Linked DNA regions of Tribolium castaneum. The protein of the gene in region 1 interacts with the protein of each later gene in a pairwise test. Links are inferred from orthologs where the notes say so. Each region holds a gene or a part of one and is shown on either strand. Other genes may lie near its edges.

Region 1 (5,532 bases):
GGCGACGGACCCAAGCGCGGGTAAACACAAAAACCCTATTTTTTAGCCTCAAATATCATAATCAATTTCATAGATTGCTTGAGGAAATACGGGAAAGGCAAGGGTTGCACGATAGGGTCACCCTTTTGGGTAGCCTGGAGCATTCCCTTGTTCGCAATGTACTAAACCAAGGGCATATTTTCCTCAACACTTCCCTGACTGAAGCGTATTGTATGGCTATAGTAGAAGCGGTTTCATGCGGGTTTGCTTCCCAAAGTCACAATAAACTTTGGTAACTTGGCTAATTTTTATAGATTACAAGTCGTTTCGACCCGAGTTGGGGGAATCCCAGAAGTGTTGCCTGAAGATTTGATTTACTTGACTGAACCAAACGTCCCTTCTCTTATTAAAACCCTCGAAACCGCAATTGATGATTTGAAAAATAACAAAGTTAATTGTCCGTACTTGTGTAATTTGAGGATAAAAAATTATTACAACTGGGAGAACGTTTCAAAACGGACGGAAATCGTGTATCAGAAAGTTATGCAAGAAAGGAATAAAACATTACAGGAGCAATTATGGAGGTGAGGTTGAACTCATTAATACTCAATTTAACTTTTCTGTTTTTATTTTAGTTACAAAACAAGTGGTGTTTGGCCATTTTTACTGGCGGTCTCTTTGTGTTATCTAATGTTGCAGTTTTTGGAGTACATATACCCAAGGGAATACATCGATATCGCCAAGGATTATAATTATAAGAAAAAAAGTAAAGAGAAGATTTATTAGTTGTGTCCTGTAAATAAAATTTTTTATTACCAAACTGTCTTTCTCTCATACTTATAATTAAAACATAAGTTCAAGTCTCAGAGTCAACTGTCTTCAGTTAGTTGATGAAACTATCAGGTGAAGAAATTCTTAACATCATTGTAGATAAATAGAAAAAACAAAAATATTAAACATGCACACTTACCTCAGAGTTTTGTAGTACAGTTTGATTTTTCCTCATCGTCAATGAACTGCAAAAAAATTAAACACATTATATCAACTCAAACCAATGGTTTTTGTTGAGAAATTGCTTCCCAACTCAGTCTTACTTTTTTGGTGGTAGTAAAGGTTATCTGCACAGTAACTCAGATAGCAAATACTTGATCATCATTTAAAATTTAGTTTATAAAACAAAATAAAATATTACAACCTACCGTCTAGGCCTAAGCTGGAATCATAGTAGTTGACAACTCTTTTGTTCAGGCCTCACTTTAGGAACAATCTAGAGCAAAATGTAAATTAGATGAAGTTGTAACAATTAAAAAACAAAAAACCAAATAATATCAGTACACCTTTGCAAGTATAATAAAAACAACTGCCACTCACCTGAATGCACTAAGTGTCATGATTTTTTCCACTTCATTTTCACGAAATCTGCAAATAGATCACAGAAATCAACACAAATACATATCGTAGTTGAAAAATGAATGAATTTAATGGAAAAGTCAGTATTAAAAAGCTCGTTTTTGAATCAACAGAGACATTCAGGTTATAAAAAAAATCATCATAATGATGCTACTACCGCAAAAATACTAGAATCAACATAACAAATCCATAACTCACCTTCATTTTCTTAATTTCTAGTTGTGTAAAATCAGTAGATTGCATTTCTTTTGCAAGATTTTTGCGGATAAACATTGTAAACGAACGAACCAGACAAAAACTCACCGGAAAATAGCACCATTGCCAACGTAACGCGACTTTTATACCTCTTGCACCAACCCTCATCATGAAATCCCCTATTTCGATGACATTTAAACTGTGACGTGTTTGACACATGTCAACAAAAAATATGGCAGATGTGTCAAAAGCCCAAAAATTGGCATCTGCTAGAAAAAAGGTAATTACCAAAAAATGCCATTTACGCTTGTTTAGCTTCTAACACGTCTAGGTAATGAGAAAATGCACACGCTTTTTTTAAAACCCCCTAGTCCAATTAGGCCACATCATTGTTTTGCTTCTAGTTCAAGGAATTAAAAAAGGAAAAAAAGAAGAACACTGCCCAGAAAGCACCCGAACTTGTCGAGTCACCACCCACAAGTCGCGAGCAGACACCTGTGGAAGGTCTCACAAATGAACCAGCGCAACTTCCAAATTACTTCAGTAATGTAAACTTCAACAACGGCTATCAGCAGCCAACGGCATTTTTCGATAATTTTTCACAAAATAACGACCCTTTCGCGTGCATCACGCCCTCAAATAATCTCAATGGTGACCAAAACCACGCGTTTTCAGTACCTGAAGACAATAAAAATGACGAAATTTCCAACTTCCAAGCCTTTGACAGCGTCAAATTTGACCAGAAACCTTCCCCACGCCCCCAGTTGTCCACAGTTGAGAGTCTGCGCCAGTTGCAGGACCAAATGGCCGAATTAATAAGCCCCCCTGAAAATGAGCCACTGGGGGGCGAGTCACCGCTAGAAATTCGGAATCAAGAGTTGGCGGAACTGCTCAATCAGGAAAAGGTGAAAAATGAAGAACTGAACGCTAGTTTGAGAGAATATCAAACGAAGCTCAGCCAATTAGAGGCCGAGCTTAAAGACAAACAATTGAACACCGATACTAGAGTAGAGCACGAAGTTAGCACTCTTCGAGAAGAGTTACAATGTCATGTCCAAACTGTGGGAATTCTCGTGGCGGAAAAGGCCGAATTAGTTGCAAATCTCAGCCAATTCCAGTTGGCGGCGAAACAGAAAACAGCCGAATGCGAGGAGTTACAAGGTCGCTTGAAAACTTCCAGATCACGTGTCGCAGACCTTGAACGTGAAGTTGCGCTCCTTAAGAACGAAAAGTCGCAATACGACAACATGGGACGCGAACAAAACTCCGAGTTGGAAAAGTTGAAACAGAGCTACCAGTCTGTGAAAGATGAAAAAGAGGAACTGCTCCAGGATTTGCTTGAAGCTCGAGAAAAACTCAAAAGTAGCTCTGAAAGTTGCGTCGAGTTCCAACAGCAGATCAAGGAGTTGTCCAATCAACTGTCCATGGCCAATATTAAAATCCAGCAACTCACAACTGGGGATCAAGACAGCAGTGAGATCGAGAAACTGACTCAGGAGAAGTTCGCTCTTGAGAAACAAGTCGCCGATTTGAGCCAAACAGTTAAAACTTTATCGAAAGAGAGGGAGGAGTCTAGTCTACAGTACCAGCAATATGCCCAACAGTTGAACGCGCAATTGTCGAGTCTGGCGACTCGATTAGAGACGTCTCAGAAGGAGAACGAATCTCTGGCGATACGCGAACAGGACAGGATTAAACACATCGGCGAGTTGGAGAAACAACTGCAAAATTTGCAGAACGATCAAGTGTCCTTTGCCGTGCAAAAACCCACCACTGAAACAAAAGCCGAACTCGAAGCCGCCCTAGAATTAGTCGAGAGACTCAAAACCGAAAACGTGGAGTTGCAAGAGGAGAATGTTAAAGCAGCAAACGAAAAGGAGTTGCTTTTGAAGGAGTTGGAAGCCAAAGGAGAGAGTATAAGTGAGCTGGAGCGGATCGTAGAGGAGTTGAGGACCAATCAGCCCGACAGTGGAAAATTATTAGCAATTATGGAAAGTGACAAAGTCGCAGCGGCCAGAGCCGTGTCTCAAAACACCGAATTGAAGAATCAGATGGACAGTATGCAGGAAGTTTTCATGAAGTTGGTAAGTAACGCTCGGTTTTAAAGGAGTTGTCTTTATTATTATTGTTACAGAATAATGACAAAATCGAATTGACCGAAAAACTGACAATCGAGCAGCGCAACAATAAGGAATTGTTCGAAAAATTGCAAAAAACAGAGCTGCATTTGCAAACTTTGGCCGACGCGATTGAAATCAAAGATAAGGAGTTGTCGCATCTTCGGGAGAACTCGTCCGAGCTCGACAAACAGTTGCTGCAGAGTGAACAGTTGAACGATAGGTTGAGGCATTACGAGGCACAGGATCATAGTTCACAAGCGTTACAAAACGAGCTGTTTCAAGCCAATCAAACTATCGAAAAACTGAACGAAGAGATAAAACAATTGAAAGTGTGTAGTAGTGACGTAAAAGAGTTACGAGAGAATGAGACAAAAGATGCCACTGATAGCAACCACAATGGAATTGTTTTGGACAAAGAGGCGGCCATGAAACATTTGGAAGAGAAATTTTTGAAGACGATGGAAGACATTGCCAATTTAACAGAGGAGAAGCAACGTCTCGAACACCTGGTGTTGCAATTGCAAGGTGAGACCGAGACGATAGGAGAGTATGTGGCGCTCTATCAACAACAGAGGAGTCTATTAAAACAAAAAGCGATTGAAAAAGACCAGCAATTGTCACAGTTAGCCAATGACCGCGAATTGATGAAAGCCAAGCTAGACAAATTGAACGAATTGGTGAAAAAGCTGGTCCTTGAAAAAGGAGCCGTTCCGTCCGAATTGCTGGAACATCACCACGACAATCATCTATGCGAAGAACACGCGAAAATCAGTAACGAAATCAATAAAATCGCGCAGAATACGTTCACAGTCGAACCGAGTGATACTCAAAGTACCGAAACAGCAGAAGAAATAATCGCACTCCTGTCGGAGATTAAAACCAGTAACTTGGTACAACCGGCTGAGAATATACATCATTGTCCGTGGTGTTCGGGCCAACTTATTACGGTGTAAATGGGATATTGTGATTATATTGTTATTTTAAATAGCTTGATTAAAGTTTATTACATAACTGCACTCGTGTGTGTTGACTGGGAATAGTTAAGAAATGAGAAACGCGCTCTGATTTTTCATATCAGAATATATTAAGTTTATTCATAGATTCTTAATAGTAAACACGAACTGACAAATATACATTGATCAGACTATGAAAACTGAATCCGAACTGGCGCTGTAGTTCGAAACTACTCGTACTTCAAACTGGCACATCAGTCACGCGTGTCGCCCTCTTATTTTTCAGACACTTCTTACTCAAACACACAATAACTAAGTTATCACTTAAATTACTCTCCTATTCAACCGAAATTCTGATAATTGCTATAATCCGCGGCCGTGAAAGTCGTCGAACTCGCCACGGGCGCCACTATCGAGTACGTCACGGCGCCCCCTTGCCCAAACCCTTGAACCTTCTCCCCCTCACTCTTCACCTGCGACACCACAAACCCGCCCTCTTTGAACTTCACCTCCCCTGCACCCATCAAATTGATCAAACCCGAATTTTGCAATTCGACAATTTTCGGGTCAATCACCAGATTCTCCCCTGAGACGTTCAACGGCCCCATCAGGCCCATCGTATGGGCCAGAATTTTGCCCTTGGCTTCGTCCACCTCGTCGTCCTTTTTCTTGCCGTGGGTTTTGAACCGAATGGGGGTGGGCTCCATCACGGGGGTGACAGGCTCGACCCGGTGGCCCCCTTTCAGGTCCGGCTGGGTCTCCACCCAATGGCCGGTGGTACGTCGGTGGGTTTTCAACTGTCCGGATTGGATAAAACGCGCCGGACACATGCCACAGGCGTAGGGCCGCGCCCCCGTGTGCCGGCGCATGTGGAG
Region 2 (4,577 bases), on another chromosome or scaffold:
CAGTCCCCGTCCTTGTCACACTAATTGCCCACTTCAAAGTATCGCGGCCACAGCTCCTAGTCACTAATTACCGTTTCATAATTAGATGGTAGCAGTGTTTATAGCTATTTGCAAGCGGCGATTTTTACTAAACCACCATCACACCTTTCCATAAGCCAGAGAGATCCAATCTCAACATAAACTAACGATTTATGTGCGCGATAAAAGCGCGCGACATATTTTTCCATTGTGTATAATTTTTTTCTCGTGCTTAGATAATCTCTGACGTCTCTATGCTTGATTTTCGAACATCATGTGAGTGGTACCCAAGGTACCGCCCATACCTCCGGCGATGTGGTAGAGACGGCCATGTTATCGGGGCCGTAGGGGCCACAACCGGTCTTACATTTACTTTTGCATCGTAAACAGCAACTGCTGTTCACTTCTTGTGGCGAAAAAAACGCACACAACTGCGAGAATCGTATCATTACGAACAGGGAATTCGACGTTTTTGCTCCCACATTGCGTGAACGATTTTTTCATTCCCAGAGATTTATTCCGGCAAATCTATACACAAGAAAGACGAATTTTCAACTGAAAATTGGTAAATTTCAGATCAGATTGGTTGGCATCTAATGTATTTTCTGACAAATTTAAAATTCATTACCATTTTTTAATCGAATTTAAATTCTCTGTTACCAATACAAGTCTCCAACAAGTACAGTTAAATATTATTATAAAAAATATTTATAAAACTTATTGAAATTGGGTGTAAACTGTATTTGTTCTAAAAATACAAAGCCAACTTGATTTTTTTTAATGTATTTTTTATAAAGAGCATTTTTGTGCTATGGTATAACACCTGCATACCTTATTTTAGTCGAAACTTAAAAAAATACCGAACAAATAAAATTTGGAAAAATATAACATTTTTTTAGTTTATTGTTAGAGCTCTGCCGCTTGAAATTTGATCAAATAATAAGTATAAGTTAATACTATAATTGTTAAAAAACACTTTTAACTGAAGAAGAACACATTTTAATAAAAAAATGTTTAAACACGAAATACATGATTTTTATGTTACAAAAAATGTTCAATATAATTTCCATTGCAATAATGAATACGTTGAACAAAATTTAGCAAAAAATTAATTAAAATATTTTGCGAAATATTGGCAGTTTCGTTTTTTATTCGTTGTAGGTCTTCGATCGCTAAGTATTTTCAAAATTGACTTAGTTTTTTTTCTCTATAAACCTTTATTATTTTTTTTATTATTATTTGTTCAATTTAATTTACAAATTGACATGCATTTGAAGGTTAAACGATAAAAATTTTTTTCTTTTAAACTTGAAATCTTGCTACAGAAAAAAATGTTATATTACATTATATACACGACGATAAAGATTGTTCATCTGCTCATAAAATAAGTAATCAATCTCATTATCGTCTTGTATAATAAATAACTATAATCTTTATATTGTTAATATTGTAATTATTAATTTTTTCCAAGCAATAATGGATATTGAACGAATTTTAAAAATTGCGTAAAAAACCGTTTGTGTTTTAATGAAATTTTGTGCAGAACATCGAGACATTTTTTTTATATGGCGCATATTGTTTGAGACCATGAACTAGATCCTAAATAATGACACAAAGAAATATATTTTTAAACATAAAAATACTTTTAACGACGCTGTTAGATATCTCTTCACTATAAGCAATTAACTATTTCCATAAACAAGTTGTAAACATATATGACAGTTATTACAACTTAAGTAAACATATTATTTTTTACTTTTACTACGTAGCAAAAATGGAAATTTTGTCCCAACAAAAGCCCAGTCGAATCTAACGTACTTGAATTTTAACAACGGTTATTTTTGCTCATTATTGTGTAGGTGTAGATTAATTATTGAAAATCCCACCTTAATACTACCGACTTTGACATTTGTTTGCCATCTAGTAGGCGAGTACAAAACTAGAAACAACAATTTTAATTTTAATTAAATAAAAGTAACGCAGCTAATTACCATATGATACCAAAATTTCTACGTTTTTAATTTTTTTGTAAAATTTTCAAATACATTATATAAAAAATTTAGATTACAGTTTTCTTTAAATAAAGTGTTACAAATTTGCGAGAGAGGTCGGCACGTTGCGTGACAGCCGTCATGTGTCAAACTAGCACGTAACCTAACTAAACAAATTTCAAAATCGCTCAAAATATGTTTTCCACGAGCACGCAGTGTAAAAATTGGATGTTTAACAGCGAAGATGAGTTAAATAAATTACGCGAAGCTGCGAATTTGAAGCATATCCAAGCCTACGGCCGCCACATCAATGTAAGTTTTTCGTGAGTGTTTCACGTTTTTTGAGTTTGTTGGTGCAGGAAGCCGCTCGTTTCGAGTTTTTTCTCACTGCCGAGGAGGAAAAGATAATGGTGAAACGTTACGAAATCCGATTACGCGATTTTTGTAAACGGTTTCAACCTCCGATGACGCGGTGTGTGATCGGGACTGCGTTCCATTATTTCAAGCGTTTTTACATTCACAATTCGGTAATGAACCACCATCCTAAGGAGATAATGTGAGGGGGAGGGATTTGTGTGTTGGTTTATTTTGACTGTGTTTATTAAAGGGTCACGTGTATTTATTTAGCGTGTAAGGTTGAAGAGTTCAATGTTTCCATTCAGCAATTTGTTGCCAATCTCAAAGGCGACAGGGAGAAGGCCACTGATATTATTTTGAACAACGAGTTGTTGCTGATGGAGCAGCTGAATTTCCAGTTGTCGATTCACAATCCGTTCAGGCCAGTGGAGGGACTACTAATTGATATTAAAGTTGGTTCAAGTACCTTGAAAGACTAATTCTAGGAGGCGAGACGGCGCTTTTTACGCTTTTTTGCCCCAAAAACTTCACTCATTTCACCAAGAATTACCAGTGAATTATACCAGCTTTTCAAGAGATGTAAAATTTTGATTTTTTTTGCTTAAAATTTTATGAAAATGAAAATTTTTTTCTTAAACTCTCTCTAGTAAAGTTTTGTGGACTTTTCTATACGTTCACGACTTCCGACCCGAAGTAAAAAATTCGTTTCGCCTCTTAGTTTTATTTCTTCATCGAATTTGATTTCCATTTAATTGTTTTTAGACTAGATGTGCATTAAATGATCCTGAACGTTTAAGGCCTGGAACTGAACATTTTCTCGAGAGAGCATTTTTAACAGACGTTGTGTTATTGTATTCTCCGAGTCAAGTGGCACTAGCTGCTGTTTTACACGCAGCCTCAAAATTGCAAGAAAATTTAGATTCTTACGTCACTGATACACTATTTGGGGTTGAGGGAAGTGGCAAATTGGCTGAATTAATTGAAGCCGTGCGAGCTATCCGATCTATTGTTAAAATGGTCGACGCTACGCCTGATAAAAATCAACAGAAACTTTTAGACAAGAAATTGGAGAAGTGTAGGAATCCTGAAAATAATCCCGATAGTGAAATGTACATCTCCTCCAAATTTTTATTCTTGGGTTAATTGTTACGTTCCAGATATAAGAAACGAATGCAGGCTTTGCTGGACGAAGATGACGATTTGTATCACCGTATTTCGACAAGGACTGATTCTTTGGATAACTCCGCCTTAGGCATGTCAGTGGGTGGTTCACCCGAAGTAGCGTAATATTGTGTACTGTATTTCAATTTTGTGAATAAAAACTATAACTTAAACATTTATTTCCTTGGTACAAAAATGACTTATTACAAATCTTTGGTTGAGTAAATAATTACGAATTTTCGAAATGTCTTCCGAAATTTTGAAGCTGCATCATTGGTGAGTTTTCATTCTGGTGATGTTCCGGAAAGCTGACGTAGTTTGGAACACACTGTCTAGGCACCAGGGGTGTGGTGGGCGGCGGTGGTAACATGCTGGGCACTGAGGGCACACTAGAGAGCCCGGGTTGGCCAGGATAGTTGAAAAACCTAAAAGTTGTTAGCACAAAATACGAAATTAAAAAACATCAAATAAAGCAACTTTTCATTTATTACAAAAAAAAAGAAGTGAATAAATACCATAATCTGTCTCCCAGAAAAATAGGCCTTGGGGTGAGAATCCCCATCGAGGTGTAATATTGCTGTGCTAGAAGTTCGACATCGTTCGTATATTTCCTCTTCCACTTGGTTCTCCGATTTTGGAACCAGATCTTGATTTGCGTCTCCGTTAATTTGAGCGTCTTGGAGAGTTGGCACCTCTTCGCCACCGACAGATATTTGTTCCGTTCAAATTCCGCCTCCAGAGATTTAATCTGTGAGGCTGTGAAGGCCGTCCTCGGCCTCTTCTTCCTCTCATCGTCCGATCTGTTGTCGCCACACTCTAAAAAGCACGAACCCAACACCAAACAGTTGTTTTTAATTTGCCGTGGCGAAATTTATGTTTTAAATGTCGAGTGGGAAGTGCAGACACGTTAAGAAGACGCTAATTTGCGCCAGAGACAGAATTAGATTTTAAACAGCTAACGATCTGGAAAGCGCTGAAAAATGACACGAAAAAACAAACACGCCGCTATCTTGCGCCCATATATTACGGGGAAACATGACTGCAGGCCTT

Evidence for each region.
Region 2: the proteins of golgin subfamily A member 2 (region 1) and CycH interact in binary tests that used the Homo sapiens proteins (3 or more experiments, as listed by UniProt). The link is inferred for Tribolium castaneum from reciprocal best matches to the Homo sapiens genes GOLGA2 and CCNH.

What each region holds. Positions count from the first base shown.
Region 1 is NC_087398.1:3,527,714-3,533,245, reverse strand, and holds golgin subfamily A member 2, read left to right. Parts: upstream 1-1,746; 5' UTR 1,747-1,801; coding exon 1,802-1,864; intron 1,865-1,988; coding exon 1,989-3,668; intron 3,669-3,718; coding exon 3,719-4,657; 3' UTR 4,658-4,720; downstream 4,721-5,532. Other genes in the region: PIG-A (phosphatidylinositol N-acetylglucosaminyltransferase subunit A), read left to right, coding at 1-20, 74-241, 294-563, 615-765; zinc finger protein ZFP2, read right to left, coding at 4,999-5,532. UniProt on the Homo sapiens protein: Peripheral membrane component of the cis-Golgi stack that acts as a membrane skeleton that maintains the structure of the Golgi apparatus, and as a vesicle thether that facilitates vesicle fusion to the Golgi membrane.
Region 2 is NC_087396.1:24,077,105-24,081,681, reverse strand, and holds CycH (cyclin-H), read left to right. Parts: upstream 1-2,119; 5' UTR 2,120-2,204; coding exon 2,205-2,321; intron 2,322-2,368; coding exon 2,369-2,565; intron 2,566-2,616; coding exon 2,617-2,818; intron 2,819-3,128; coding exon 3,129-3,475; intron 3,476-3,523; coding exon 3,524-3,653; 3' UTR 3,654-3,700; downstream 3,701-4,577. UniProt on the Homo sapiens protein: Regulates CDK7, the catalytic subunit of the CDK-activating kinase (CAK) enzymatic complex. CAK activates the cyclin-associated kinases CDK1, CDK2, CDK4 and CDK6 by threonine phosphorylation.